Lepisosteus oculatus: one gene and its partners. The protein of the gene in region 2 binds, or shares a complex with, the protein of the main gene of each other region. Links are inferred from orthologs where the notes say so. Each region holds a gene or a part of one and is shown on either strand. Other genes may lie near its edges. The genes, in order: gas8, ccdc135, drc1 and fbxl13.

Region 1 (7,830 bases), about 5.1 Mb from region 2:
TTTATTTTAGTTAAAACCAATAAGAACATTCACATATTTTGAAAGTACCCATCACAGACATCTAACTAGCAAGTTATCGGTTTGCCATACACAGAATATTAAATGAATATTAAAGAATTTTAGACTATGTATCAAGGGAAAAAATAATGAAGGCAACATCTACATTCGGAGCACATAAGCTATTTCTTTAACCATCCATCCATTTTTACTCTGCTTTTCCTGACGAGGGTTGTAAACTCCAGCAAAGAGTATTTTATTTTGTTTTTCATTCAAGATGCAGAGAATGGCAAACAATGACATTCTCATTTATCATCTAATGAAATACATTAGTCAGAGACAATGAATTCAGAGCTGTCTCTGTCTCGTGTTTCAGCACAAAGGCAGTAAGTCTCTGTCCAACAGCGAATATGAAAACACACAGCAATATTCTGACTGTTACAGATCTACATCACTAGGTGGAGCTATATATCAAGACTACAAGCGAAACAGTAAAATACAAATAGACAAACACAAATCCCAGTTTATTACTCATATCTATTGGCCTCTTAACTTGTAGAAGGGAAATGGCATTATTGAAAAGGAAGTTGTACCTCGCACTTGTCTTTCAAAATCATTCCTCAGTTTGGAAATTTCTTCATCGTGTTTCTATTCAGGTTGTAAGTGGAGAAAAAAGCTTAAATTAAGACTCGATCTTCCAGTTAAACACAGAGGACAATTAAAATGAAATATATATACAAACATATATATGATATATATTTTTAAATACATTTAAAAAAATGTCCACATACCAGTTTCAAGCTCTTGACCAAATTCTCATTGGCGAGTTCCTGCTCTTTTATATCCACCTTGAGCGTGCGCATACCCTTCCGCAGCTCGTCCTCCTTCTCGCTCTGCTCCTTCTGCATCAGCTTCGCAGAGATGACCCCTTCCGCCTTCAGCTCGGAGGTGCTGTTCTGATGTTCGTACAGCAGGTGCTTCACCTTCTGTTTGTACACCTGCCGAAACAATCCACAATATTCTGCAGCAGCACAAAAAGGACTACTATCAATGCAAACGAGTTCTGAAACAATAACCACATGAAAAGTAATCAGAGTGAAATTATATTAATTACTCCCCTGGGGATGAATGAAGTATTTTTTAACTGAATTATTGTTATTAATTATTCAGGTAACCTATTATTTTTTTACAGGCACCCACCATTCTCTTCAATGTTAAGGAAAATTGTAAGGTTATTATGATTGCATCTTGAAGTCATCAGGGCTATAATACACTCTGAGCATTTTGCTTAGAGACATAGATGTTCATAAAAAAAGAAAATCATTTAATGCACAATGTAAAATTTCAGCAATGATTTTGGATTGGAAGCCCTCTTCTAGGCCTTTATGGACTATGACAGAAACTGGGCACAAATAACGATCCTCACAGAAAACCGAGGCCAACAATCATACCAGTGATACTCTGTAAACCTTCATAAAACGACAAATCTGCCCTTAGTGGACGACATGTAACCACTAAAAGCCCTCAACACTCTTTACCAGCTCTATTTCATCCCATTATGAAGTGCACTCCTTGGTTGAGGGAGCTCAGGGCTCAAGGGAACGTCCCACGCAGGCTGAAGGACCAGAACCCTTCTCGGGGAGACCTGACCCAGGTGTTCAAACTCAGCACAGGTTTGATGCCCTTAACCCAGCGACCGTCTTCAGATAGAGCACCGATACATGAACCAGAGGAAACGGACGGAAGTGCATTTAGAAATGAGAACAGGAGCCCCTTCTTTACCCAAAGAGTGGTGGGAGTGTGAAACAAGCTGCCCGGCCATGTTGTTGAAGCCGATGCTCCGGCTTCTTTCAAGAAACAGCTGGATGAGACCCTGGGATCAATTAGCTACTGACTACCAAACAGACCAGATGGGCTGAAAGACCTCCTCTCAGTTGTCCTTTCTTACAGTATGTTCTTACCTTAAGTCATGTTTGTTCAATATTGGTAGGGGAAAAAAAATATTAGCAAGCCAAACAGAGCAGACAGCCCTCCTAACCTTGATTTCTACTTGGTGCCGCTCCTCGGAGTCCTCCATCTCCCGGTCCTTGTTCCTCAGCTCCGCCTTCTTCTCCTCCAGCTGGCGCTTGGTGATGTCCCAGAAGGTGTGGATCTTGTCCCTCTCCAGCTGGAAGTAGTTGCGCTCCTCCCTCTCCCGGTCCAGCTCCTCTCGCAGGCGGACAATGTGCTCCTCCAGCTGCACACAAGTAGCCACAGACTTGGAGGTGAGCCGAGCCTTGGGGCTGGAAACAGAGCGAGTGGACGCTTGCACAGGTGTAGCAGTGACAGGGAACGTGCTTCTCAGACTCTGCCAGGGACAAAATCTTGGACTCTCCTCAAATGCAAAGTCAAAACTCACCTTTTTACCACTGTCTGTGTCTGCCTGACACTGTCTGTCTGTCTTTACACACGTGTTTATGGTCGTTTATTTTTTTCTTTATTACTATTTAGTATGATTATTTATTATATTACTTTCTATACGATGTTTTATTTGGCAATTTAATGTCACATGTGCCTTTCTTTTAAACATTCTGAAACATAATACAACACGTCGCGACAGCGCACGAGTATATCGCCACAGCTCACCTGCTCCTTGGACATTTCCTCCGTGGAAATCCCGTCCACCACAGTGGGGCTCTTCCCCTTGGCCGACCCCTTCTTCCCTCCTTTCTTCTTCTTGGGAGGCTGGGAATAAGAGACGCGCCTCAGCCTTTTAAAACCTCCTATCAGATTTACTACTGAGTCCTCAGAACTCAAGATCAACAGCAGCAGCGTCCACAACACCACACACACACCACACAACACAACACACAACACACACCCCACAGAGCAAAACACAAAATACACACAGCACACACACACAACACACAATACACACACAGTAGCACGACGTCACGTCTGTCCAAAAGCTGAGTTGTTTAACAAAAGCATCTTAAACTATTCGACTGCATTATTACGCATAAAATCAATTCACTTGGACGCTTAGTTTTCACAGCGACGATCGTCAACCCCAAGGTGATCCTCATAAATCATGTTTCCAAAGCTACCGTAAGTAAAAATAAAAGTAAAATACATGCAGACTTACCATTTTCAAGAAACTATTGATTCTGAGTAAAAGGCAGGGGTGAAAATATTTTGCTGTTCTAGCAGAGCTGCTGTCGCGATTTGCAGCATCGGCCTACAGAGCAACACAGCGGTCTCCTGGCAACGGCCGTGCTCTCGCGAGAAGGACACGGAGCAGGAAACGCGCGTTTCCTGGCAACGCCAATAAACAAAATATGGAGATGAAATCGATTTGCATACAGTACATGTGAATGAAGGACAAATACTGTAGTCGTCTCCACTGTACCTCGTTAAAGGTTTGTTATGCGAATCAACACAAATAAATTCAGCATTTTTATGCTGGCACAAAAATGAGGAATGTTGTCTGCGGCAGACAACAGATAAGACACGTTTAGAAGACATGATTCGTTCAAATAGGTCTGTTTCAGTAATAGATGATGAAGTGAGAAGACAGAAGTCTCCATTAATTTGATATTGCCGCTTAGGTACCAAGTGTGGCCTGACAAAACAGCAGGTCCCTATGAATGGAAAAAATAAAAAGTATCTGAAGTAATCTTTTTCCATTTTTACTTGATGGGATGGTGCAGTGACACAGTGGTTAGACTGTGCTACCTTGCAGCGCTGGGTCCCTGAGTTCAGCTCCTGGGGTATATATGCATGGAGCTTGTCTCGTCTCCCTGTGTTCGCATGCGTTTCCTCCAGGTGCCCTGGTTTCTTCCCCCAGTCCAAAGACACCCTTGTAGGCTAATTGGCCATGGTGTGAGTGTTAGTGTGCACTGTGACGGATTGCTGGGATAGGGTTCTGTTCCCCTCAGCCCTAAACTGAAAGATGGAAGGAAATGTGTCTTGATTAAATCCTAATTTTTCCTCTGGCTACCCATCAAAGGCATTAATCTGTGAAAGAAATGGTGCATACACAAGTACTTCTATAATCAGCAGGCTGAGAAAATTAGGACAATAGTAGGAAAGACAATGTTAACGACAGCTTGTAAATAAAGATGGCTTCAAAAGACAAGTACGTTCAAATGAAGATGAAAAACTTTTAGATATCTACAGTACGTGTACTACAGTCAACCAATGTGAAAATATTTCATGTATTTATTAAAGATAAATACATAAACATATTTCTTTATCCATAATCCTGTACGAAAATAAACATCAACCTTGGCTTTCATTTAAAGGGTAAACAGATAAAAGAGGAGATTGGGCTGCCTTAGACATCGAGTTATTAACTAAAACCACAGCAAGATAATAAAATGTAATCCCAGTGATTTCAGTGATGTAGCTGTCCTGACAGTGCCCCAGAAATCCAATGAAAATCTAATTTTGATAAGAGAAATGTCAGATATTTCCAGCTCCTCCATTCACATTTCCCAAAATTAACATATGTCCAGACTCTTTAGCCTATTTTCACATAGAATTTAAAAGAAAATCCGTATTAGCATTATTTTTTTCTACGAATAATATGATAATATGAGTGACAAATAGCCAGCATGCATTTCAGATTTCATTTGTATTTTATTCACTTTCCCAGTGAATTAAGAGCACATTCGTTATACCTTTATGACTATGTGGGCCCCAGATGGTGAGCTTTACAGATTTATTGCATAAAATGAAGTTAATTTATATAAGAATAATACTATAATTCTGCTTTTCCAAGCATACGTGTGCCTCAAAATGTCAGTTAAATGTGAAATATATTTCTAAAACATCCCGTATTAAACAATTTACACAGGTGTTCAATTTTAGAAACTTTTCATAGTATTTCCTTTAAAGGTATTATTTTTGTTAAGAAAATGTAGGAAAAAAATTGAAAGAAGAAAAGGTCATCATAAACTGCAAAGCCAAACCCCCTGATTTTCGCAGTACAAACGCTGTTTCACTCCATGTAAACATACAGTACATGTTCTGTGGTGGCTGTGTTTCTTTCAGGTCTCCACTTAACAATGAGAGCACAGTATCTCCTCCAAATCGTACCAGCTATTCAGTACAGGACCCCTAACCTTTTCTTTTCATAGAGCAGGAGATTACAATCTGGAGGGTGACAAATTATTTTTAGGATGTGATGCAATCGCATGCTGTGATATGTCCAATCCCAGTCCACTATCCAGTCAAATACTGTACATTTCACTTCCTGGTAGATTCAATAATTCAGCGAGATCTGTGATGGATTGGCATCTCTTGTCCAAGGCATATCCCGCCTTGCGCCGGTGGTTAGAAAATGGAGTCCTGTGGGATTACTTTACAGGGTGTCACTGCTCTATGCCCTTCATTTCTTCATTGCCTACAAGTGACACCCACCCAGGCACATTTTCACCTCTTTAAAAGAACACAAAATACACACCCTAACCCTAACCCTAACCCTTTAAAAGAACACCACATCATATCACTGTATCACCAGTTGTTCATACTACTAGCAAACATCTGCACCTTCGTGATGAGCTGTATGTGTATTGTTGAGCAAAGAATAAGTTTTCTAGCATTTAATTGGACTGAGTTGCAGTGACTTCATTTCTGAAGCTTTTCAATTATTTAAAATTATTCTGAATGTGTTATTCCAGTTCTGTTCCAATGCTAGTTTTTTGCTGTTTTCCAGTGTGTACAATATTTAAGATATTAACTCCACAGAATGCCTTTAAGAATAAAGAATGAACACTACTTGTCTATTGAAGAATCACTCAAAAAACAAAGGGTACTCAGAGAGCCCTAATCTCATGCATGTGTTTAACTCTTATGAAAATTTTATAGCAGAGAAAAACCATGTCAGAAGAGCTGAATGCATAATGGGGAATTTCCCTCAGGCTACCTTCAAATGGGAACATCTGAAAAAATCAAACTTTCATTTCAACAGCAAGCACTTAAGGTTTAAACCTTGATGGGAAGAATCGGGCGTTAGGTTTTGTGCAAATTGGATGGTGTCTTCCAGCCCTACATGAATAGCTTTACTCCACGCTAACAGGAAGTGGATGGATGATTTCCTCTTTGATTTAGGTGTGGCTCAGTGCTACACACACAAAACCCTGAGCTCGCACTCCACACCCCTCCCACCACCCCCCCCATCCAGATCTGGATGATCGCCAGTGTGTCTTGCATTCTGCTCTCTCTCTCTCACTCTGCTTTTTTTCTGCAGTCTCCCTTCCCGAGCTCATTTACAATGCAATGCTTACAGTGTAGCGTGGCTCTGCAATTTGCAAAGTGATCTTTGCTTGCATGGCAACATGTTTGTGCTGGTGCAATGCCCAGGGTGGTGATTTTGCGGGGATACTCCGGCTGTGAGGATCGGTGAGGGTGTTGCTGGTGTCTGATGCCGTGGAGAGTGCAGCCAGCGCCTCGCTCTGCCTTGCTGTCTCCTTCCCTTTCTCTCTTCCTGTCTCATGCTGCTGCCTTAGACAGCCCCGGACACACCACCTGCCTGGATGGACGCACAAGGAGGGGCAGGTACCCCAGGTGGGTGCACCGCGTTTCAGTTTCACAGACCGGTAGATCTTAGAGCGATCCGAAACATTTCCTTTCAGTACAAGAAACTTGCTGCTGCTGTCTGGCTCTGCTTGTAGGGCTCTCGGGGACTTCACGTGTACAATTGTGAAGAAAAGAGCATAAACCGTCTGTTTTAATGGTAAATGTTGCAGCTCACTTGTGTGTTTCTGCAGAGGTCTTAGCGTGCTTTGAAAGCTACATCACTACACTGAAAAACACAAGATAAAATTACACTGTGTAGAACAGCCTACCTCCTAAAGACAGTCTTGCAGAGCCAGAGAAAGATAAGACATGTCTTACTTTGCCTAGGACTCCTCTGTGCTGATTTTGTTTTGGCTGGAATATTCATCTCTGTCACTGTAAAAACTGCAGAGCCAGTAAGCTGGTCCGGGATCTCAGGATCAGCTCATTTAAATGGGCGACTCACCAGGAGCCCAGTGTCATGGTGCAGAGGTCCCATGTGCTCAGACAGACGGGACCACAAAGCTTAGTACTGGCCTGACACACAAAATTGTTTCCTCTGACAGGCAGGTCAACACAAAGACTTGAGGAACCAGGGAGAAACCACCCTCCCCTCCCCACCCCCTCCAAGCACAGGTCTTGCTGCAGACCCCGAGCGTTTTGAATAATATGAATACTGGAAGAGTCAAAAGTCAGGATCACCATGAAAATGACCAGCGGAGAAGAAAACAAAAACGCCCAAAACAAAGCGTTTGCTACATTCAGTTGTCAGCTCAGGGACACAATGTGCAATCGTTTCCAAACTAGGAAACAGTCCCATCATTAGATCTTTATCTTTATAGGTTAACTGTAGAGATCACAAGAGTACAGTAGAAAAAAGGTCTCAAGGATTTCCACATTAATACGAATTACTTAATAGTGCCCCTTCAAAGAATTTTGTGAATGTTAGAGAATTATAATACAATTGCCATGCTGCTTACAACTCCTAGTCCCAAAAGATCTTCTCTTAATATTGTGACAGATTCTGTCAGGGAAGAAAGGAAACCATGAGCTGCAGCATAAACAGACTTATACATTCAGTAGTAAAGTACAGTATGTAAAATGGATGGAAAACAAATTACTTTATACTCGCACCATTATTTATGTATATAGCAGTATTCAAGATACTTAAGAGAGCTTTATCGTCCTATCAAACGGTTACAAATATCAATATCGTTATCAGTACGGTGGCCTTGTTGTTAGGATTTGTTACCGAGCTTAATGTTTCGGGTATTTAGAAATGAGAAGCGTTTA
Region 2 (8,100 bases):
CTTAAACTGACAATTGAAATAATGAATAGCTTTTAATATACATCATTTATATTACTCAAAGACAGTTAGATGCATATTGTGTAAAATTGTTTAGACAAAAGGTTACATTATGCAACTGCCTTTTCTGCATTAAGAAACCTTAGGTGCCACTTAGGTTCCCTAAGACTTTTCCTTTGATTCTTTGTTACTCTCAAAGAGCAGACTTCAGTCTTTTAAATAGATCCATGATCTCACCCCCATTTGCCTGCATTATTGTAAAAAGGAGTCAGTTCCAACACACAGCAGGTGCAGGGAAGTCTGTTTTTTTCCATTGCCTAAATGCTCACCTTCTCCTGGTTCACCAGCAGGGGGCACTGCTGGTGTGTCTGGTCCAGCAGACAGAGCTCCTTCGCTGCGTAGCCGCTGACGCAGTATGCATCATAGCCCGCCCCAAGCAGCAGGGAGCATAGCAGGTTTGCGAACTCGAAGCAGGTCCCACGCTGGCACTTCAGCACCCAGGTAGGAGAACGAAGGCACTGGGGCTGAGGAGGATTAAGATTGGTAGAGTAGGCAGTCATACCCGAGATTAAACATTCAAATTCCAAATGCAGTCCGTCACAGGCACAATTTATAAAAAACAATTAACATAGCCAGCCATGCTATAGTGGTCAGATGACCTATTTTCTCCCACTACGGATTCTAGTTGTATTTTTCGGTGCTGTTGCCTTGACTTACCAGATCTACAGGGGGATCCAGAGGCTCGACAGAGAGATACTCAGATACAAAACACGCACAGCCACCCCAGCTGTACAGTTCAGGGTAGGACAGCAGTGTTGGGCGCAGCGTGGTGCTCACAAACTTCTGTGCAGGGAACAAGAGACAAAAAGTGAGTAAGAGAATAGACTTCACTCATTTGTAACCTCTTGTAAGACTCACCATTTCTTTAAAAAGGCAACCTTGATATCCTACACAAATAAAGAAGCTCAGTGCCCAGTACAAGAAGACAACCTTACAATCCAAAGCTTATACAAGTGCTCAGCACCAGTGGCAATGAGGGGAACTGCTGCTCACTGTTGTACTCAGGCTATCAAACAGTTCTGTAGTTTTAATGTAATTTAGTAGCATTCAGGTTTTTTTACTGACCATCCCAAAGATGCACCAAACCTGTGGCTGTTCTGCACCCTGACAGTGAGAAGATTTGGTTGAGGCTAAGCAGCTACTGAGCAAAATTAGGCTCCTGGCAGGACATAATCAATATCTGTGCCATACGAGATGTAGAAGAGCAATACAGTTTTCATGCAATTGCAAGTTCTGTACAAGAGTCACCTCCTCTACCTCATCCATTTCCTGACCCAAAAGTCCTGCCTAGCACACGTACCTCAACCCCACACTCATTGAGGGGATTCAGGAACAGAGGTTTGCGGTCAGGATACAGGTGAGCATATTGAGAGCGGAAATTATCAGCAATGGCCAGCAGCAGCTTCTCCTGGGAGGAGTTCTCCTTGTACGAGGAGGGGAATTCAGAGAGATCTATGGACGACTTAGTCACTGGTCTGAAAAGATGGACAAGTCAGTCATTATTATTATAGTCATTATTGTGTGCACACACTGCACACCCATATATTGAATGTCAAAGGCTCAATCAGTGTGAAACACAAGACATAGGAGCCCACTGAAGTTCAGGAAGAAATCTTTGAAGTTCAAGAAGACTTCTGTCTAGCATCCACTAGAAAAAACTAAACATCATGAAAAGCTGTACTTACTGTGGGCTAAAGGACATATCTACTCATTGTGGGCAACTAGAACTACAGCTTCCAGACTTCTACATCAAGCAATGACAATGATACAATCATTGATTCAAGACCCAGATTACCCAGATTCAAAAGCAATAGAACAATGTCATTGTTTTACTCCCACAGCTGTTAACCTGCTCAATTTGGATAATTAACTGTACATTTTACTTTTAGATACATATTTATTTTCTTATGGTACATGTATGTCTTATTTGTGAATGGGTCCATGTTGTGTTAAATGTATTGCGTACTGTGTTATGTCAGTTACCTGCTTGCAAAGCAAATTTCCCATTTGGGACAATAAAGTAAGTACAGTAATGTTGACATGAGGTTTGTACTCACTGCGGGCTGGCAGGGGTAGTGATGTGTATTTTGGACAGTGTCTCCTCCAGATCCTGCAGCTCTGTATTCAGATCTTCATCCCCTGCCTCCTCCTCCCCCTTCCACTCTCCAGCCTCAGACAACTGCTCCTCTGGCAGCGTCTCCATTTCTTACAGGACTGAAAATGAGAAAGAGGAGGACAACCTGAACTCCACAGGATCACCTCTCACCCTGTCTTCAAAGGGACAGAACTATCAATCAATCAGAGTTTATTTATCAAATGCACAATAATACAGCGTGCAGTTATTATTATTATTATTATTATTATTATTATTATTATTATTATATTATAGCAGTAGTTGCTGGCAACAAAATGTCTATCAATATCAATTACATCATATTTTTGTTTTACTATTCTTTATAATCATATAATCATATAATTGTTCTATCCATTCTTTATTTGAATTACCCTAAATATATCTATAAATATATACAGTAGGAGGCATCAGATTCCTCCTGTTAAGGAGGATTCCTTGTGCTTATTGTGTGCCTTGTGCTTATTGAAACAGAAGGCACAGAATTAAATTATCTACTGTAATTACCAAGAGAAAACAGTGTAACACAGTACACCTTGACATTTTATGTTAAATACATTTAACAATTACAAGTTTACGTCGTGCCACAGAACAGTGTAAATATATCCTTACTGCAGCTGCTAAATATTTAAGGAAGCTCGACCATTTTCCGTTCAGTATACAAAACTAAATAGTTTATCCGGTTTCATAATTTATTTACGGTTTAGTATACGATAGTTTAACTATAGTTTATAAACAGTTTCTGAAACTTCTAACCCCTGTTTTCATAAATCACATTGTTTATTTACTCAGCCGCATAATCAACAGGTACATTCTACTGTCACTGATTGTTTTTTACCCCTTGTTTCATTTTTAAACATGTAGATATTGAAATAAAAGATTAATCGCACCATTCCCCATCACAGTACCTCTGAACGACCGTCCCGTTTACGACCGTCTCCATGGCCACGGCAGCGCTGGATCACGCTGTTCCGTGGCCCCGCCCCTTGCGTAAGCAGCGTGAGGAGACGAGCTGCGGGTTTCTCCTGGTTTGAACTATTGAAAAGCGCGGACATTTTCTACATCTGACTAGTGCTACTTGAAGATATAGATCTTAAAGGACTCCTACGGTTTCATTTTCGATTTTGCACGTGAAAAACAATTACCAAATAACAACAAAAAAAATAAGGCCACATCTTCCTTTTATCTTCTGTATCTTCATGTACAGGCTACGCTCTTAAATACCTGACCGAGCCCCGACCCTTAAAAAGCAGAAAGTATTCTAAGACTTGATGATCTCAAGTTCTAGAAATCTTCTATTAATTAATTAACCCCCACCTTTTGGAAACAGCAATTGCTTGGGGGGGAACTCATGAAAACAATCTAAATGCTAAAAACATTGATCTGTTGAGTGCGGATTCCGGAAACCAGATTCTCACCAGAAATAAAAACCAGACTAGACTAGACCAGACCAGACCATATACGTTTCAAATGTAGCTCCCTCGGTTGTCACGTCGGCGCAGTGGATCGTATTGCTGTGGCCCTGGGTTCCATTCTGGACCCGGGGTGCTCTCTGTGTGGAGTCTGTGCTCCCCTACGATTGTGTGGGTCAATTCCAGGTGCTCTGATTTCCCCCTTCAGTCCAAAGACATGCTGGTAGGTGAATTGGTTTCAGGGAAGATTTGGCCCTGGTGAGAGTGTTTGTGTGCGTGGTTGTATCCGTGTGTGCCCTGCGATAGACTGGTGTCCTGTCCAGGGTGTATCCTGCCTCATGCCTGTTGTTTGCTGAGATAGTCTCCGGCTCCCTTCTGACCCTGTATGGGCTGAAGTGGTTAGAAAATGGATGGATGGATTTCTCTTGAATATTAAACAGTCACCCACTTTGTATCACATTTACGCCTTCAGAGGAAAACTGAGCCCAGGAACAGGCGGGAGGATTGGACAACTACACATGTGCATACTTATAAAATCAATGGGGAAATACTCTCCTGGAGTAGTTCACTTACGAAGGTTGTCCATTGAAAAGTCTGTAGTGACACAGTCATACAACTAGAGGTCGCCAGAATTGCTTCAAAGGACTGGTCTCACCTACAGTATATGAACTGATAGTTTTGATCATTGTCCTGGAACGCAGACAATCTCACATGGGATTCATGGTTCACTAGAAGTGGGGTTTAAACAGGAGTGCTTTTCTGTGATGGACTGGTCTCTCTCATCCAGGGTGTATCACGCTGTGGGCCAGTTGCTTGCTGGGATTGGCTCCGTCTCCCCCACCACCCTGGACTCGATAAAGCAGTTAGCGGTTGTAACTTTGTTAAAACTCTCAAAGTCAGGATCACCACATAGACCACTCATGTCCCATCAGTGTTGGAGAGTTCTATGTGCAAAGGTTGTTTGACCAATGTTACCAGAGTCTGCAATGTTCCACACTATGTAATCATTGGATAACTACATTGCAAATTACCCTGGGTGCCGAGTGTCTGCCAGCAAATAAAGATAGTGAAATATTTGGTACGAAGACATCAGATTTCCAAATATTTACTAAAGTAACCTATTGTTCTGCATGAAAATAAAAAGTTGTCTTCTACAGATAGGGAATAATCCAATGAATTGAAATGGATAACAGTTTGAAAGTATGCAGCTGCCTGTATTTTGGGGAAATTTGAACTTTCTACCTTTTTCCATCTGTATTACAAAACAGGTCTGCACTTGCAATCTCTGTGTGACTGCTGTTAATGTTTCACAATGTTCATATAGTACACATCAACTGTTTAGCTGGTTAGGGGATCAATAGTTCATAGGTGAATTAGATAATGTTTCTGTTCACCAATCCATCAGACAGAAAAGAAACATATTCTTAGGGAACTTCCCCTGTAGAAGAACTTCTCTGATTCAGTATAGGACACAACTTGTAAGTGCAAGCTAAATCAAAACAGACAGTAGCTTTCTATTCCAGAAGCGTATCTGGTTGCAAACAATGCTTGCTCATGCCTGAGTAACTTACCCGACAGAGGAACAGTGGCTGGGATCTTTAAGCAGATGCAGAGGATTGGATTTGATATCCTATCCTTTCACAAACAATGGTAACAAAACAAGGCCGCTGATGACATATCAGCCAGTCTTGATTTGATTTCAAGGCAAATGACTAAACTCTGACACAGTCCTCACACTGTCTGGCACTTCAGTCAACAACATTTTCATCATAGGCTCAGGATTTGCACCTTATTGCATCAATTTGCAGACAATAATAGAACTGCAATGTTGACACAATTGGTCCTGCGGTGCAGCCATAGATACCCGGCTCTCGTACAGGACGCTGGACTTCAGTGGTGCCGTGTGTAATAGGTCTCTTACTGTAAGAGTTATGTCACTTGTCTGGTCTGGACTGTGCAATTGAGGCTCAAGTGATGACAGTTCAAGTACAGGGTCCAAATACACACACTGCTTCTTCCTTCAAACTGAGTCTTGCTGGGGTAAGTGCACTGTTGCTCCTCCTAACCTGCCACTCATGGTGGCAATGGGATCCCTGGCTCCCCCAGGATTGAAAGGGACTATAACACTGTAGCGGAGGCCACTCTGATCAAGAGGTTGAACTCACATTGTAATGACTCAACAAGCTCTTTACCACATTCAAGTCCACCGGGCCACACAATTAGCAGTTACATATATATTCAATTCAATATTCCAGTAATTCACCAGTAAACCTGGAGCGCATTTCTTCAACTTGAGACAAGATAGCATTGTTCTGAGTGACTGCATTAAAACAACATTCAGAGTTAATTGAATAATGTCAGAATGGAGCAAAATAACAGCTTGTATAAAATAAGTATTTAATACCAAAAATACCTAATAAAATACCTGTTTTATTTGAAATAAATAAAATACTTTTTTATTTTTTAACCAAATAAAAAAGCTGAGAGGAGTAATTGAGAGATGAGGTCAAATTATTGCGAGAAGCATCTGTAACCCTTAAAGTCTGGACTTGCCCATCCCAGGCAGAAGATTTCTAGCACAGAGTGATTCCTTTTTGGCCCACTGTCCTCCTCTGAAAGGCTAGGCTTGCCCCTCGGTGTAAAACATTGCATAGAAATTGTTTACTCTAGCCAGAGCTCAGATAAAAAGCTTGTGATTTGTCAACGATGTCTAAAGCCGGAGTCTCATCAGTATTCAGGTGGTGGTGAGATCTGACTGGAGCATTCCACTGGCCTACAGGGTGCTGAGTGCGTACACTGGGCTTCCAGCGTGGGAGAGCTTCTGCCAGAGACTCTGCCCTCGCAGCCTTTTTCTCCATTGGCCCTGATAAGACAGCTGCAGAGGCTCATCAGCGCAGCAGCGAGAGAGAGAATCATGGGCCGCCGCACCTCTGTGTCGCCTCTGCTTCTGCTGCTGGTTCTGGGTGTCTTCCCCCGGCCTTCGCCCGGATTCTGGCTCTTCAATGTCATCTTTCCTCCCAGCGTCGAGCCCAGAGAGTCCCAGACGAACAGCACCCCGCCTCTCATCCTAGGTGAGTGTCAGGGAGGGCAGTCGGGTTCCGGGTCTCCGGAGGAGTGGCGGCCTTTTTGTATTCCAGGAGCATTTTTCGAAAGTATGCATTCAAACCTACCGAAAGCCGTGCTCTTTCAGCTGGTTTGTTAATGCAGTCAGGAGCGTTAAATAATGACACAAAGGCCTGCTGTTAGGTTTCAGAAATAGGTTTTTGTTTTGGGAACATGTGTTTTGTGAAAAGTAGGGAATATCGTATGCATCTTTGCGATTCCAGTGGGTGTTCTATGAATAGTGAACTCAGACTGAGAATTGGTTGTTTCTACTTCATTTATCATTCACCACAACAAATATCCTGCACTATACAACAGCTTCTAAAATAGCCTCTGAAGATACTATTATTATACAGACCTGTAGTCAAAGCTTTTCTCAGAGTGGAGATACTATCAGTTGGACATGACCCCGGTTTCGGCCTGCATTTTTAACACTTGACTGTTCAGGTTTCATTTGCACTGATAAGCTGTGAGCACAGCTTGCCAGGGGTGTCTCATACAGCATGCTGTACTATACTGTTGCACTTTTGGACAAATCTGTGTAAGGAAGTTCAGAGTAGATGATGGACCTATTTAGACTGAAAGTAGAAGATACTTTTTTGCTCAGAGATTTACCACCTGTCCCTCCTAACTGGCTCCCTAGGATACATCTGGATAAGACTCAGTCACACAGTTCTACTTTAAGTCCAACAAATAAGATGGGAGTTAACCTCCTTTAGTTGTGATCACCCTCTGTCCTTGCATTCTTTTTTAAAGTTAGACACAAGGGAAAAACTGGGAACGAGAATCACGATGAATCATTTACAGTAACTCACTCCAAAAATAGGGGAATAAATTGAAAGGAGGCATGTAAAGCATTCTGACCTGTGACCTCTTACCACTGCACAGTGCCAGGAAACCTGGGAAACCGGCTGGAAGCCAGGATTGACAAGCCCAGCCTGGTGCACTGGCTGTGCTACAGGAAGACGGAGAACTTCTTCACCATCTGGATCGATCTCAACATGTTTATGCCCATTGGCATCGACTGCTGGATAGATAACATCCGGTACAGTAGCACCGTCGTGTCGTAGCTCTCACTTTGTTGCCACCAACCTCACCATTTGTGTTGCCTTTCGTCAGGGGAAAAGGGCTCATTGTCAACAAACACCCACTGCTCTCATCTGCCTCTTCACTCAAGAGAGCCCAAAACCAGGAACCAGAAATCTGAGACATTGTCCCTCTTCCCACTCATTGCACCTTCAGTTCTGATCAGAATTGATCCAAGCACGGAGGCTTCTCTTGAACCACGCCTCACTGGTGATCAGACAGCTGGGTGAAACCACCAGTGAATCCCAATCCAAGCTTCACCTCCACCTCAAAACAAGTGCCTTAAGTTACTTTGCATCTGCATCTGCCTAC
Region 3 (7,111 bases), on a different chromosome or scaffold from region 2:
CTGGAGTTGTAAGTGTATCTGGAGTCTGTAGCAGGTCTTAATATTTGTAATTACTGCGACTATTTTAAGGACATAACATTTAAAGCTTAATAAAGATAAATAATAATAAAAAAATTCTGTATTGTGTAACATTGCATTTTGTTTGAACATTACCAGTTCTATATTTGTCAGTGCTTCAGGTTTCTTATGTAATTACTCAATAAAATACATAATTGAAAGGGTGGGAAACTTCTATATGTCATGAGGTAAGAGTTCTTGTTAAAACTGAGACAGTTGAGACTGAGTTATGAAAGCATATGTCTTTGGACACTTATTGCATTAAAAACTGAGAAAAGGGGGCACGTGTTTAACAGAGCAGTTGTAGGAATATGTCACGTGATTGAAGCTGTTACCAAAGAGTGTTTTTCAAGAAATGGCTGGATGAGATCCTTGGACCAATTAAAGCCCAACTACACAACATTCTAGATGGGTGAACGTTTGTAGCCTTTTTCATGTTCTTATGTTTACAAATTTTGTGTAGTCTTTAAAGAGCATAATCTGAGATGATTATGAGGCGAATGTTGGCAGCTCAAAGTCATTATAAGGAAAGGAGAAAAAATTAAAATATTAGAAAAAATACAATTTTCCGGCACATTGAAGGATGTTAAAAATGTATTCCTAGTTTAAATACATATATATTGTGGACATCTGCAGCAATGTTTGTCAAAATTAGAAGTCTTGCTTCTTTTTATGTGTGACTTTACTCTGTTGTATTGATCGCCATCTGCTGGACACTGATGATATGCATTTCACAGTAGCTACTGCTACTAACATTCTTTCTGTACAGACCTGTATCCTATTTATCAAGGCTGCCTCCCTGGACCCTGTAGGTAAATAGATACCCGTGTTGAGTGTGGTCTTCATTTAGCAGTGGCTTGATGATGATGTATGTGAAACGTACATATATTCTCTACAAACACATCAAAAAAACGTATCACTCTGCATGCTTGAGGAGTAATGAAGTCTACATGTTTAGGGTATTGTTTTAACATTTGGTGAAAAGCTATCCCTTTCTTAACCTCTTTCTCCAATACACGTGAAGGAGCTGGAGCCTATCCTGGCAAGCAAGCAACAGGCGCAAGGTGCAATACACCCTGGATGGGAAGCCAGTCCAGCAGTGTACACACAGACACAAACACACTCACACCAGGGCTAATTTGAACTTGAACTTGAACTTTATTGCCATATGTAACCGGTACTGGTACAATGGAATTCTTACTTACAGAAAGTCTCTCGTTTGTAAAACAAGTGTAAAAAACAAAACAAAGTGCAAACAGTGCATCAAGACAATGTACAAACAAACAATAGACAATGTGCAAGTAAACATGCAGACAGTTTGAATGTAAACAATACAGACGTGTAAACAATGACTGGAGACGTACAATAAATAAATTACAATGAGGTAGATGGTGATGGTGTAGGTGTGGTCCGAGGGGGATGGCTAAATGTGTTCGCCAGTCTCACTGCTTGTGGATAGAAGCTATTGAAGAATCTAGTGGTAAGTGACCATATGCTCTTATATCTCTTGCCTGAGGGCAGTGGGGTGAAGAGCTCATGCCCGGGGTGGTGACTGTCCTCTGTGATGGCCAGAATTCTACCACGGCAGCGGTCCTCATAGAGCTGTTTAATCTCGGTGAGACCGCAGCCGATGATCTTCTGGGCCATATTGACAGTTCTCTGCAGTGCCTTTTTTTCTCGCGAAGAGGTGTTGCCATACCACACGGTGATCCCGTTGGTGAGGATGCTCTCGATAGTGCAGCGGTAGAAGTTCACCAACACATGTATTGGCATCCCCCATCGCTTGAGGCACCTCAAGAAATAAAGGCGCTGCTGAGCCTTCTTCATGATAGAGTCAGTGTTCACAGACTCTATCATGAAGAGTCTGTGAATTTTCCTGGAAACCAATTAACCTCCCAGTATATTTTTCTCTTTGGGAGGAAATCAGAGCACCAGAAGGAAACCCACGCAACAGGACCTCAACCACATACCTGATGTTTTTTGCTAGGCTTTGGGTAGGTATTGAAGTGGGGGGTATCGGACCCAAGCTGGATGCCCCATTTTCTGACACATGCCCTGCACTTAATGGGAGAGTTAAAAGATTAAAAAATCCATCCAACTGGCCATGTTCAATGCAGAAAAAACTTGAAGATCTTGTCGCACCTCATAACAATCTGCTGACCCCTGTGAGCATTTTAACAGAAGCCCAAACAAGAAAGATGAGGAAACACACAACCTCTAGGATTCTGTGCAACGTTCACAGAGACTTAGTCTGGAGTTTCTTCACAAGTGCTTACGGGCATGAGCCTTCTTGTACCACAGGTGTCTCACTCCCAGCCCTCGATGTATTAGAATGGGCTGCAGTGAGGATGAGACTGTGACCCATCCCCTGTGGTCCTGCCATTTTGCTAAGACTTTTTGGGCTCAGTTTGAGGACTGGTTACAGGCCCCCTCGCTTCACTTTTCCCTGACCCCTGCCTTCATAATATGCACTATTATGTCAAACGCTACCCTCTGACATGTTTGACAGGATTTGGGCTATAGTGAACAGTGGAAAGGATGTCCTCTTGAAGGGTGAGGAACATGGGGGTGTTCAAAGGCATTGAGGTTCCAGTTAAGGGAGCAGGTAGCCTGGTCATTATTAAAGACAACTATTATCTCAGAGATCTATGGAGTGTAGGGAAGGAGGAAGCAGAAAATCTGTGGATCGTAGGATCATGTCTCATAACCCTGTGATACTGATAATCATGTAAGGAAAAATAGCATTTTTCATGGAAAAAACATCAGCAAATGTGTATGGAATTGATTCAAAGTGACGTGAGATAATGCACCTCAGCAATTATATTTCTGTTGGCTTTGTAATTTTCTCTAGATGTGTGCATATACAGTATACTGTTTTAGGTATATACTGCATAATACTGTACAGTTTTTCCTTTTGTGTTATTCTGTATTTGTGAAAAGAAAATAAAGTTCTTAAGAAACAGAAATGCAAACACAGAGAAATAGCAGATAGCACCCCAGGTCCAGAACCAGTCTCCCGTGCTGTGAGCCAGCAATGCTAACCACTGTGCCACCGTGCCGCACTCTGGTGAAAATCATGAAAGAAAAATACAAAAATTAACCCATAGTCTTACTTTCTCAAGATAACAGCACGATGTGTCATCATTGTTTTGGATGCACTATTGTAGTGTATTCACAACCAGTTCAAAGCCAGTCCGTCAATGATAAGCCCCAGTCTAGGAGACCGTGAGTAACCACACCTTGCTAAGATCATCATACATATCTTAAGGTCTGGGGCTAGAAGCTACTGATCTCCGCATCAGATTAAAGTCACTCTGTTATTAATGTCAAAACTCTGGGACATTGCTTGCTGCTCTTGCTGTTATGACTTATTCCGTAATAGCTAGGCGATACAAAATTTGTCATAATATTCCTGCAGGCTCATCCAGACGTGATTCACTTTCAGCCTGACAGTGCAGGCACTGACAGGTGCTCATGTAACAACAGCTTTCTTGGGAAATGAGAGAATGACAGTTAAACCATAGATGCCCTACCTGTCAAACCTGAGCCCAGCTAAATAATTTTGTGATTAGGATGGGACATCAGTGGCCTCGACAAATTCAATTTACTTGTTAACTCTGCATGCAGACCACTGACAGGTGAACAGACATGCTTGTCCAGGCTCTACAACTGGAAAGTTGGAAAGAATCTCACAAGTCAGCATGGTTAAAAGTATGTGGCAGGGATGTGCAGTGTGTCGTTTCTACACAAACAGCCCCTGACGTTTACAGTACAATAGACCCGTTGATCAAACTCAAATGTTAATCAGCATAATGACTTTACCTGTCATAGCAGCTGCTGCACGAAAGTTCTGATAATAAACTTAAGACGTTTTTACAACGATGTATATATATATATGAATTAGATTGTCAGTACGCTGTATATAAATACATAAAAATAAAGAAATAAAACAGGAAAAAAGTATTTGCTAAAGCAGCCCCACAGAGATTGCATTAAACTCTACTGAAGATGACGTAACAGCAGCAGTATCCTAGCAACAAAGAAAACAACAAAGCTTCCTTGATGTGTCGGTGATACATACTGTAGGATGACGCCTGGCAGATAGTAGCATTGATTAAAAGACATCAGTGGACATTTACTTACACGTTAGTTTGCACTTTTTGAAAAATGAATCAGGCCGAGAATGGAGGGGAAGAGCGAGAGGAAAGTGGACCATCGGTGCAGTCCGAAAACCCGGAGGAGCGAATAGCCGCTCGCCGCCTGCGGATAGCAGCTAGGATTGAGGCGAAGAAACGGTATCCAACAGCCAGAAACAACTCATGTGTTAATGCCTATATCTTGAACTCGCTATGTTTGTTTGTTAAAACTGAATCATGGAGACAATAATGAAATAGTAAAACGCATTCATACCTAAGCACCGCGTGTAGTTGTGACGATTTAGCGAAACATGTCTCGATTCAGTTCCCGAGTTAGACAAATGCTTAAATTAACTTTTGTTATGTCTCGCAGATAATAGACGACTAAACTAAGGCTTAGAAAGTTTTGTATGTTGTTTATGGCGGCACAGAAGCGTGACGCTGCTGGCTAAGAGCACTTGATTTGAGACAGGGGCACCTTCTGTGCGGAGCCTGCATGATCTCCCCAAGGCAATGTGAGAGTTCTCGGGTGACATGCTGGTTAGGGTAATTATCTGTCTGTCCAGGGTGTAGTCGCGCCTTGCATTCTGTGTTTAAGCGATTGGCTCTGAACTCTGGGTGCTCTAAATGGCTTTGAATGCTCTGGGTTTTGTAACCCTCGTAATGAACTCATACTGTTTTTCTTGCATGCTGAACTGTTTTACATTCATGTCAAAATACTCAGAGAAGCTCTAGGAGACAGCAGCCATGAAAAGAAAGATAAGGAAGAAATGAGAAAAAGCCAGAAGCAGGTGGAGCAGAGCTGTAAGGTTGGTGGTACTTATGGATGTCAAATAGTATCGTACATATTAAAAGTCTCTTACAGAATTTATTCCAACTGTAATATGATTTTTATTCCTCAAGACTTGATCAAAAATATGTTTATCAGCAGCACTAAGGTTGTCATCCCTAGTTTTTTTAAATAGATAATAGATCATTATCTAGTCTGAAAGACCCGATTTCCTCAATTTGATCCATGCCAAATTTTAGGCTTCACAAGATGTGTAAATACATGTTGTAATGAAATATAGTAGAGAATTGTGTTGAAAGCTGTTATTATTTGTATTATCGACAGTGCCTTATCTCATTTAGCTGATTCTGATACTCACACTTTGTTTTCGTGTCGTATGGTTTCTTTATACAAATAGATTTTCTACTACAGCTTTAGGCCATGTAGAGCACAGGTGTCTATGACTGAGCCATTGTATTTTATTTCTCACAGAGAATGATTAAACTGCAGGCTGATGGGACAGAGCTGGTCACCAATATTCAGGTAGCAGGAGACTGGAAAGAGTCTCAGAGGAGGACTGAAGAGGAGGAGGCAAGGAGGCAGAGGTACATGAGGAACATAGCTGAGTCCCTCCTTCACAAACACAGCCATTCAGCAGGAAATTACAATACCTTTAAAAGTCTCAGACAAATGGCTTTTTTTAATCTTTCTTTACATGACTCTTTACTCAAATAGCTTCATATTCTGAGAGACAAATCTTCAAATACAATATCTGGAAAATGTTAGGCTACATCTATTATTACAGTAGAAATACTATAAACTTTAGCGGATTCATGAGTTTGACAATACAGGATTCTCAAACAATTTGATGACTTTTGTTTGATTAGATTGTGTTGTAGAAAGACTGTTCAGTAAGCTTTAAAATATCTTTATAATGGTCCATGAATTATTCCTAGTCACTCATTTATTACCTGTAATCATTTATTTTTGTAAATGTAATTGACAAAATGTCAGAAGATTCTCCATTATGATGTGAAAGACCTTCAGAATTGCTATCTGAAGTATACACAAACTATTCCCTCTCAACAGTATACTAGATTATTCTGAAGTTATTTACTACTATGTCACATACTGTATCTAACCCATTCTGCCCTATGAAAGAACAGAGAAGCTGGAAAGTGAAGCCAAGACCAGTTTGGAGAAGTTTGAGGAAATCACAAAGAAGTGGACATCAGCCAGAATGAAGGAGATCCCTCAGGACTTGAGGGAAGCACTCAACATGCAGCAACAGCAATGCGCTCTTCTTATTGAGGAGAAGAACAAGCTCATTACTGACCTACAGCAGGTAAGGAAATCCTGGATGATGGGGATCCATCCTTTTTCTAACCACTTTATCCCACGCAGCGTCATGGGGGACATAAGGACATAATATTAAAAATGTTTTTATCTAAAGTTACAAACCACGTGAGACCCAGCAAAAATAATGAGTACATAATTATGACTATTCTTCCTAAAAATTCCATCTTTGAGTGTGAACCTTAAACTTTCTTGTAGTACTGTTTACTATTTTATGTGTATGGAAATCAACAAAAGGTTTTCTTTCATTTATTTAGATTTTGTTCTTAGAGGAGAGATTGTGGTTTCTTTACACTCAATTTCTAGCTGTTTCCCAGTTATGACACAGAGGTACTGTACAAATATGTTTATTTGAGACTTAACCTATTTCAAAACAAGCCATGCTCTGCCAACAGGAACTGAAAGCAAGTGATGATCGCTACGTTAAAGACTTGAAGAAACAAGCAGAAGACATCGACCTCATGATTGAGAGAATGGAAGAACAGATAAAGAATCTGATGAAATCCTACAGAGAAGAACTGGACCAGATTGAGGTACCGTAGATACATTTCTATTGACATTTCTACCTGACAGTAACAAATGATGCTTAAAAGGCATTGTGGATTTTTGGGAGAGGCAGAAGTTTTATTTACTACTTTCTATTTTGAACTGGACAACCTTGTTAGCTTTATCCCTTCACACATCTTTTAAGTATTTCATGAAATATGGACAGCATGGTAAATGCTTCAAGGATTTCAAGAATGAGTCATGAAAACCCCTATGCGTCTTTCACAAGTGCTGTGTATTTGTGCAG
Region 4 (7,579 bases), on a different chromosome or scaffold from region 2:
TCTTAAAAAATGTTGTCACTGTTTCACTTTCGCAGCTGTACCACCTTGTTGATCCAGATGAATAGGAGGAAGGTCATCACAGCGTGCAGGTGGAGGGGAGGAACTCTCTCCTTCCTAAGGGCAGCAATGCTATGCAGCACAGTGCATGCAATAATGATGACGCATGCCCTGCCTGGAGAAACCCCTGGACAGAGTCATGTAAATGTTGCTGATGCAACACTATGCATCACAGATCATTTGATAACATAGGAAACAATGTGATGGTGGAAACTTACATGATGGAAAGTCTACAGTACGTAACACCCATTGTAGGCAGACATGTTTAAAACATCTTTTGATATAAAGTTATAAAGTTATAAAGTGATATAAAGTTTTTATAGTTTTGGCTTTTGAGTGATCAATGTTCATATTTTCACACTACAATTTTATTATCTGTAAGTTGATGCTGTGAATAGATTCTCTTTTAAAAAGAGCCTCATTTGACTATATGGGGGCTTTAATGAGGATGACTTTGCAGTCCAGAACACCTTTTTTATTATACATAAAAAAGAATATTACCAGATACTGTATATACTAGATCTGTATTTCAAGAAACCCCCGTTTGATGGTTTATATTGTCAAGAAATGCAAACAAATGCATACACCACTTTACTTATTACATGACATACTGTCACTATATTTGAATTAACCTGCCCTGGAGCCGGTTAAGAGTAGAGGATATGTTGCTATAGTTACTTAACCAGATACAATTCAGTCTTGTTTCATGAAACTAAAAATCCAGACTTTTGTTAAAAGGTTTACTAAATTCACCAAATTAAACCAAGTAATCTCACTTTGTGAAACAGTCCCCCACCACTGTAGAATGATCTTTCAGGGAGCAACTCAGTGTTTCATAGCAGTGTATGTCCTGTTCACAGTGGGAATTTATGTTACAGTCTTATATCAATAATGTGACCTGAGATGGAACCCATTAACAAAGATTAAACTTTAGAAATAAAAAAGGACTGACCACAGAACCCATTTTGAAGAGCCGGTTGATGAAAGCCAGCATGTTGAACAAGAGACCAAAAACAATATTTTATTTCCTGGGCACCTTTGACAGTGTAATTCAAATATTTTTGGGAGTCTTGCCAGTCCTAGAAGGTTCCACACAAAGACTAAATATAGACATCAGTATTTGTTATTTCAGAATACTACAGTCAATTTATTTCAAAATGCAGATTTAATTTATCTTACTGTAAATAAAGTTATTATATATTGTAAACCTGTCGCTGATGAAGCATACTCTCATGCCTCTAAAAGAGAACAGTACATGTGTTTGCTCCCTTTATAGACTGAGCAAAGCTATAAGGAATCTTTAGACACACAGCTGAAATATTATGCAACACTGCATTGTGGTGTATGGTAAAATTATACTGGGTATGGTGAATAGACTGCATGGCGAAATTATAACAGGGCCGGAGGAAAATCATCTCGTTTCTAACGTTCTTTCACTACGTGATATGTGTAAAGTGTTTATATGTCCTATAGGCTGTTTTACAATAATCTTAAGGGCACGTCTAACGCTACAGATGCTGCTTTAACAATTAAGGTGAGAACGGTGCCCTCTAGTGGAATTTCTATAACCTTCTTTATACGCAGTTTATCTTCTAATCTCAGGGATTGTTCAAATACAGCCATTGAGGATATTTTACCATCTCTACTCTTAAACACTTTATTTAACTAATTATTTGATGACATGGACACAGGTAAAACCTTTTTTGACCTTACCTATAGTTAATGGGATCAACAAAACTCTCAGAGCTTAATTAGACGTCAGTTGTGCGTTCTTTGGTTTAATCAAAACTCCCAAGAAATGTCCACTTGGAACTGGTATTGATCCCCGTCACAAACAGGCAGGGCTTTCACTGCGCATACATCGGCCTGATGGGGTAACGGCGCTCACATGTACAGTACAGTATGCCACTCTGTAAGGATTCTTCCAGATTTGTCCTAAACCATTCCATTGAATAAAATGTCCCATCTATTCCAAATTTACCTACCAGTTCCCATTTTCCTGAAACTCTTTGATTTTCTCTTCCAAGAACTGTAACGGGTTTGCAGGGCACACAACACATAACCCGGATAACAACGCCTGTCGATAAAAAATATATATATATATCACTTCCATTATCATGAAAATTTAGAGAAAACGCACCTTAGGACAAAGCAATACATAAACCTAATACAGGTTACAAATCAGAGTAGTGTTTCTACCCTTTTCGCTTGATTCACACCTAAAAATCGTCAAATATATATTCTATTCAATTCAGTTAACTTTTATATAGCGCCTTTCACAACAAGGTTTCCCCAAGGCGCTTAACAATGCAATATACAAATATAGAAAATATACAGTTTATCACGTTAAAATGGAAGCAATTCATCATGCCTGGTGAAATGTCATTACCGATTACATATATGCAATTGAATGCCACACCTTTCGTGTTTGCCAGACTACAGTACTTTGCAATTTTCCACGCCAGTATTTTATGTACTATGATAAAGCCAGAATAAGTGAAACCTGTGCAGTAAAGAGTGCCTGGTGTGTTCTCTGCCTTAGTGGAGATGTAACTGTCTATACATATTGACTTTATTCTTGGATACTCTCGGCAGTGGATCCTTGTTCGCACTTCACTGGTGTATTAATTAGATCAAGGGAACAGGAATTCCAGAAAAGTACTGGAGTAGGTAGATATATCCAATTGTTGCCATGAAGCTAGTAATAAGAAATTACAATTTTGTGATGCACACCAGATTAATTTAACTTTTTAAATACATTCTATATAATTATATATTAAACATGTTTAATGTATTATATTATACAAGTGTTGTCTCTCGAACGCTGAAAGCTTAATGATAAGTAAATTCCATTACGTTTTGCAAAGCTAAAGACCATGGAAGGTACCCCTTATGGATGTCAGTACAGCGTGTTATTCAGTAAAATAATTGTAATAAAAGTCTATACTGGAAAACACAGAAACGTCAACCCTACTTTATAGATCTCAGGAAGTGAGTGTTGCATGATGTATTTTCTCAAGACCGGATCTGCTTGTTGCAAATTATCCATTTCTCTCTTTCAAAACGTACGATACTACAAGTTTTTCGTATTTTCTAAACTCCCTCTTGAAAACTCAAGTCTGTTTACAGTCACTAAGTAACTAAATTGGCTCTGGCCACGCCGCTGGCCAAACGAAAATAATCCCCGTGTCTGGAACTCCTTGATGGGAGCCTTTAACACGCTGCTTATGAGCTTCAGTTAATGCACGTGGAATTACCATACAGTATATTGATACTCTTTCGTTTTAATTATTATATTTACGACATAGTCGATTACTAGGCTCTAAAAATACCAATTTGAATAATCCACTTCATACAGTATTTCAAGATGAACAATTCAGAATCCGAGAGATTCAGTTAGAAAAACCCCGTGAAAACGTTCGTTCACCCTTCTGTTTGATTAGAGTCATGTCGCAACTGAACTGTCAACATGCTGTTCGGAAATTGTTTGTTTTGCTGAAGCTTACCATATAAATAAGTATTTGATCAACTTTGTGCTCTTATGAGTCAGATCTCGAGTCCACGATGGCTGACGGTGCCAGTGTGGCTCCCAGCCCGTGTAAAATGAAGGTGTTGCTGGGGTTACTGGCCGGGGCTGGAGCCACTTACGGGATTTACAAACTAGTGACTGCAAGTAGGAATCGAGCTAATCAATCCCGAAATATCGATGTTGTAAATGAACATTGCTCAGGAAAAGATGAATCCACGAAAGCGGTTTTGCCTGGGAGTTTGCTGGAAAAAGTGTTCGAGTTTTCTTCGATTCGTGGGAGAGATGTTCGTACAGGCGATGGTTCATCGCGTAAGTCTGTCTCTTACTAAACAAGTCTACGTGCACCTGCTCTGTACTCTTTCGTGTCCTGTTGTTGTTATTTCCTCAAATGGATCACAAAGTAAAATAAACTCTCTGGCGCTAAAGATTGTTGCTGACACCATTTTACAGATGAAACAGGACAATTCTCTGGGCAGCTCACGTGGTTATGTGAATTATTGAATATATTACATACCGAAGTGTGAGCATGTTTATACTGGAACCGCACTGAAATAATGAATGTAGTATTACCGACTTAGTGGTACAGTCAGAGTGATTAATGCTGAGCTTGAAGTGATGCTCTCACATTGTGCAAAGTTCGTAGTGACATACGCTGAGCGGCCAGTTTATTAGGTACTGTACATATCCCTTCCCATGTACTTGAGGGCTTAATCAGAGACATCATCGTGCAGACGATGCTATTTAAAGCACGTAGTCAGGTACAGTATCTCCGGGTCGCGTGTGTGCGATTCAGAGGGAGAGTGGGCAAGACAAAAGACTTAAGTGACACTGAACACGGGAATTCAGTTTAATGTAATGCCTCCTAAGTCACTAGATTTCAGTCCAGTCAAGCACCTGTGGGATAATGGACAGAGTTATCCGAAGTAGAGATCCATCACCAGCTAATTTGCAGTTGCAACAACTATGTGACACATTTGGAGTCGACATGGGCCTGTATCCCTGTGCAGCACTTTTTGCACCTTGTTGAGTCCAAGCCCCAACAAGTCCGGGCAGTTTAAGGGGAGATGGAAGACCAACGTGCTATTGGGTAGATGTACCTAACAATGTGACCACACACTGTATGTGATTCTGAATCATGTGCAGTTTCTCAACAGTACAAAGATGCGGTTTAATATATAGAAAATGGAAAAACCAGAAAAACAAATAGCATAAGTGCACATGTTCAGAATTAAAACCTTCTGACCGGCTGTTTCTTTACTTAAACTACTTGTAGATACAATACAATAATGATAATACAAGTTTTTGGTAGTGTAGAAAGTGTAGTGTAAATGAGAAAGCTACATCAAGAGCAGATCATAAGGATGTCTGTCCTTAGTGGAAATCACAAAAATATTTTAAAAAAACAACCATATCCTCTCAAAAAAAAACAGATGTATTCTATTCACCTGTTAATTTTGAAGTTCCTTAAGCTCTTGTGTATAGCCAGTACTAGGTGCTGGATACTCCACACACTTTACTTTCTTTTGAATAAATGTGCATGAACAGACCACTGGATCTAAAATTAAATATTTGGACTTCTGACTCTTGATTACTGTAAAGTTTGTAAAGGATGAAACTCCAGTGCGGTGATGGTCTTTTTATCCTCCCTGGCATTAATAGAGGTATTTAGATCTGCCAAATATTTCCCAAGAATTTAAAGCGCATTTCTAACTTGCTGTTTTACCTGTGCTTTTAATTTGCAGGTGAAATACTCTCAAAAACTCCTGGAAAGCTGGACCCACAGCATCTAGAGATGCTTCTTTCCCTGCTGCAGAGTAATCCTGACACATCTGAAAGAATGCAAATACTTGTCACTCTGGGCAACAGTGCAGCCTTCTCTGTGAACCAGGTACCACACGTAAATTAATTCAGGCTATAGGCCTCCGGAATACTGAGTGATTCCTGAGGCCAGAGGATCAGGGATCATTTGTATTTTATGCTCAAGGGCATCTTACAATTAACTCACTATAAAGGCAGATAATTTCCATAGCCCAGCAACACTGGGTCACTGGGTCTGCTTATCCTGGTTTCCATGGTGTTAAGTGGACAAGAGAGCATGTGACTCTCCTGGACAGGTCACCAGTCCATTACAGGGATTCCCGCCCCACAGTACTGGTCCCCATTCATACAGCTGGGAGAACTGAAGCAACTGGGATAAAGTGCTTCCCTTAAGGTACAACACCAGCATCTGCAGTAGGGACACAATCCACCTGTTAAGAGCCCAGAGACTTATCCACCCAAGACACTAAATTGCTAAACACTATAGCTGCTTAATAACACATACCTGTAGATTATATATTTAATCACAAACTTACAATATATTGTCAGAAATATAGTGCCTGCAGGAAAGGTAAACTGCTGGTACTTAGCAGTGTGGTAATTACAATGCAGCTCCAGAAGGAGAAGTCTTTTAACGTCACAAAACAGCACAATACAAATAAGTGCATATCGTATACAGAGCAGATCTGGGCTGTCCAGTCTAGATCCTGCTGGACCTTTGTGTTTGCAGGTTTACATTCCAGCTCGGCTCTTATTGAGCTGAACCAGCTGGTTGCTGACCTAACTGGACAACTTTCACAGCTTCTCACCTTTCGGGTGCCGCTGCTTTGAAGAGACCTAGGAAACCTGCAGACACACCCACCCTCCGGGACCAGGAATAGACACCTCTCGGGTAGATAGTGTGTGGTTTAAAAAAAGCACAGCAGTGGAATAAATAAGGGAGTTGAATATCGCAAGTGCAAAACATTGAGTGTCTTCCAGGTCCAATGAATGTCTGGTTTCATGCTCATGCTGAACTCTTTCTCCTAGTCTTAATCCACAAGGAAGAAGGCAGACGATTTCACAGGGAACATTCTTCAGCAATCAGCACTACCAAGAGTTTTTTTAAGGAAAAATGTTGCGGTTTCATGTATTCAGAGGAGAATCTTTGTTCTCGTTCATCTTATATACAGTAATGGTTGTCAGAAGTGCTTTTGTGGTGAAGTAGTCATCCTGGAGAATGGATAAAGATTGTATGTTTTTTCCGACTGCAGGACTTTATTCGTGAAACGGGCGGCCTTAAAATCATAGGAAACCTCTTGTCAGATCCTGTGTTTGGCATCCGAGTCCAGGCCTTAAATGCTCTGAACAACTTGAGCATGAATGCCAAAAACCAGGAACAACTGAAGGTACGTCTACTATGATTCACAAAGCTGCCGCTGCTCAGGGAGTCTAATCTAGTCTGAGCGCCTCACTATTCCATCTTTCAGCTTTTCTGTCTTTTCTTTATAAAGATTTTATTTCATTATCATTATTATTTTATTTCTGAAGTCTTATTGATGCTGTAAGTCATAGTGGATAAATTAATGATAGTCATCTATTTCATAGAGCTTAAATGAAATCTTTCAATGATCAAGTATTAGAAAATTCTAATACACTGCTACAGAAGTGCTTGAACCTTTGTAATTTCACCTGATTTCATGTTTATACAAGCTGTGCATTAGATATGAATGGGTTGTATTGTCTATCGCTTTTTGTCTTAATGTATATTCTACCTGACAGTTACATTTGGATTTTCCCTATAGGAATATATTCCAAAGGTACTGGAAATGATTGAGATTTCTGCTGTGAATTCAGATATACAGCTGGCTGCATTAAGACTGTTGACTAACCTATCGGTCACAAACGACTACCACCACATGATGAGGAACTCGATTACTCTCTTTCTTTCGCTGTTGGTTGTAGGCAATGAAGGATTACAGGTATGCCTTTCCATTCTTTAGTGGTGAGGAAGAAATCAAAGGAGTAAGAAAAAAGTGTTTAAATAATACCGTATTCTTGGTGTGGTTATGACACCAGCACATAAATATGTCACACTCAACACCTGAAATCTGTTATGAGATGTATTTATTGAGCTACTTTTTTAGTAACATAAAGCTAAAGGTTGTTTATATGGTTTGTTGAAGAGGAAAAGCG

The links.
Region 1: ccdc135 (region 2) and gas8 share a complex: the UniProt entries of both Homo sapiens proteins name them as parts of the nexin-dynein regulatory complex. The link is inferred for Lepisosteus oculatus from reciprocal best matches to the Homo sapiens genes DRC7 and DRC4.
Region 3: ccdc135 (region 2) and drc1 share a complex: the UniProt entries of both Homo sapiens proteins name them as parts of the nexin-dynein regulatory complex. The link is inferred for Lepisosteus oculatus from reciprocal best matches to the Homo sapiens genes DRC7 and DRC1.
Region 4: ccdc135 (region 2) and fbxl13 share a complex: the UniProt entries of both Homo sapiens proteins name them as parts of the nexin-dynein regulatory complex. The link is inferred for Lepisosteus oculatus from reciprocal best matches to the Homo sapiens genes DRC7 and FBXL13.

The regions. Positions count from the first base shown.
Region 1 is NC_090715.1:16,578,434-16,586,263, reverse strand, and holds the start of gas8 (dynein regulatory complex subunit 4), read right to left. Parts: upstream 3,241-7,830; 5' UTR 3,125-3,240; coding exon 3,122-3,124; intron 2,722-3,121; coding exon 2,623-2,721; intron 2,280-2,622; exon of another isoform or gene 2,234-2,279; coding exon 2,036-2,233; intron 996-2,035; coding exon 789-995; intron 646-788; coding exon 591-645; intron 1-590. Other genes in the region: dbndd1 (dysbindin domain-containing protein 1), read left to right, coding at 6,516-6,546. UniProt on the Homo sapiens protein: Component of the nexin-dynein regulatory complex (N-DRC), a key regulator of ciliary/flagellar motility which maintains the alignment and integrity of the distal axoneme and regulates microtubule sliding in motile axonemes.
Region 2 is NC_090715.1:11,489,321-11,497,420, reverse strand, and holds the start of ccdc135 (dynein regulatory complex subunit 7), read right to left. Parts: upstream 3,155-8,100; 5' UTR 3,097-3,154; exon of another isoform or gene 3,079-3,096; intron 2,272-3,078; 5' UTR 2,261-2,271; coding exon 2,115-2,260; intron 1,533-2,114; coding exon 1,358-1,532; intron 841-1,357; coding exon 715-840; intron 522-714; coding exon 327-521; intron 1-326. Other genes in the region: lcat (phosphatidylcholine-sterol acyltransferase), read left to right, coding at 6,515-6,671, 7,591-7,747. UniProt on the Homo sapiens protein: Component of the nexin-dynein regulatory complex (N-DRC) a key regulator of ciliary/flagellar motility which maintains the alignment and integrity of the distal axoneme and regulates microtubule sliding in motile axonemes.
Region 3 is NC_090697.1:51,221,121-51,228,231, reverse strand, and holds the start of drc1 (dynein regulatory complex protein 1), read left to right. Parts: upstream 1-4,087; 5' UTR 4,088-4,224; coding exon 4,225-4,352; intron 4,353-4,917; coding exon 4,918-5,002; intron 5,003-5,454; coding exon 5,455-5,567; intron 5,568-6,123; coding exon 6,124-6,307; intron 6,308-6,713; coding exon 6,714-6,851; intron 6,852-7,111. UniProt on the Homo sapiens protein: Component of the nexin-dynein regulatory complex (N-DRC) a key regulator of ciliary/flagellar motility which maintains the alignment and integrity of the distal axoneme and regulates microtubule sliding in motile axonemes.
Region 4 is NC_090702.1:33,828,684-33,836,262, reverse strand, and holds the start of fbxl13 (F-box and leucine-rich repeat protein 13), read right to left. Parts: upstream 3,175-7,579; 5' UTR 3,107-3,174; coding exon 3,032-3,106; intron 2,135-3,031; coding exon 2,043-2,134; intron 1-2,042. Other genes in the region: armc10 (armadillo repeat-containing protein 10), read left to right, coding at 3,622-3,895, 5,329-5,474, 6,658-6,792, 7,189-7,365. UniProt on the Homo sapiens protein: Substrate-recognition component of the SCF (SKP1-CUL1-F-box protein)-type E3 ubiquitin ligase complex.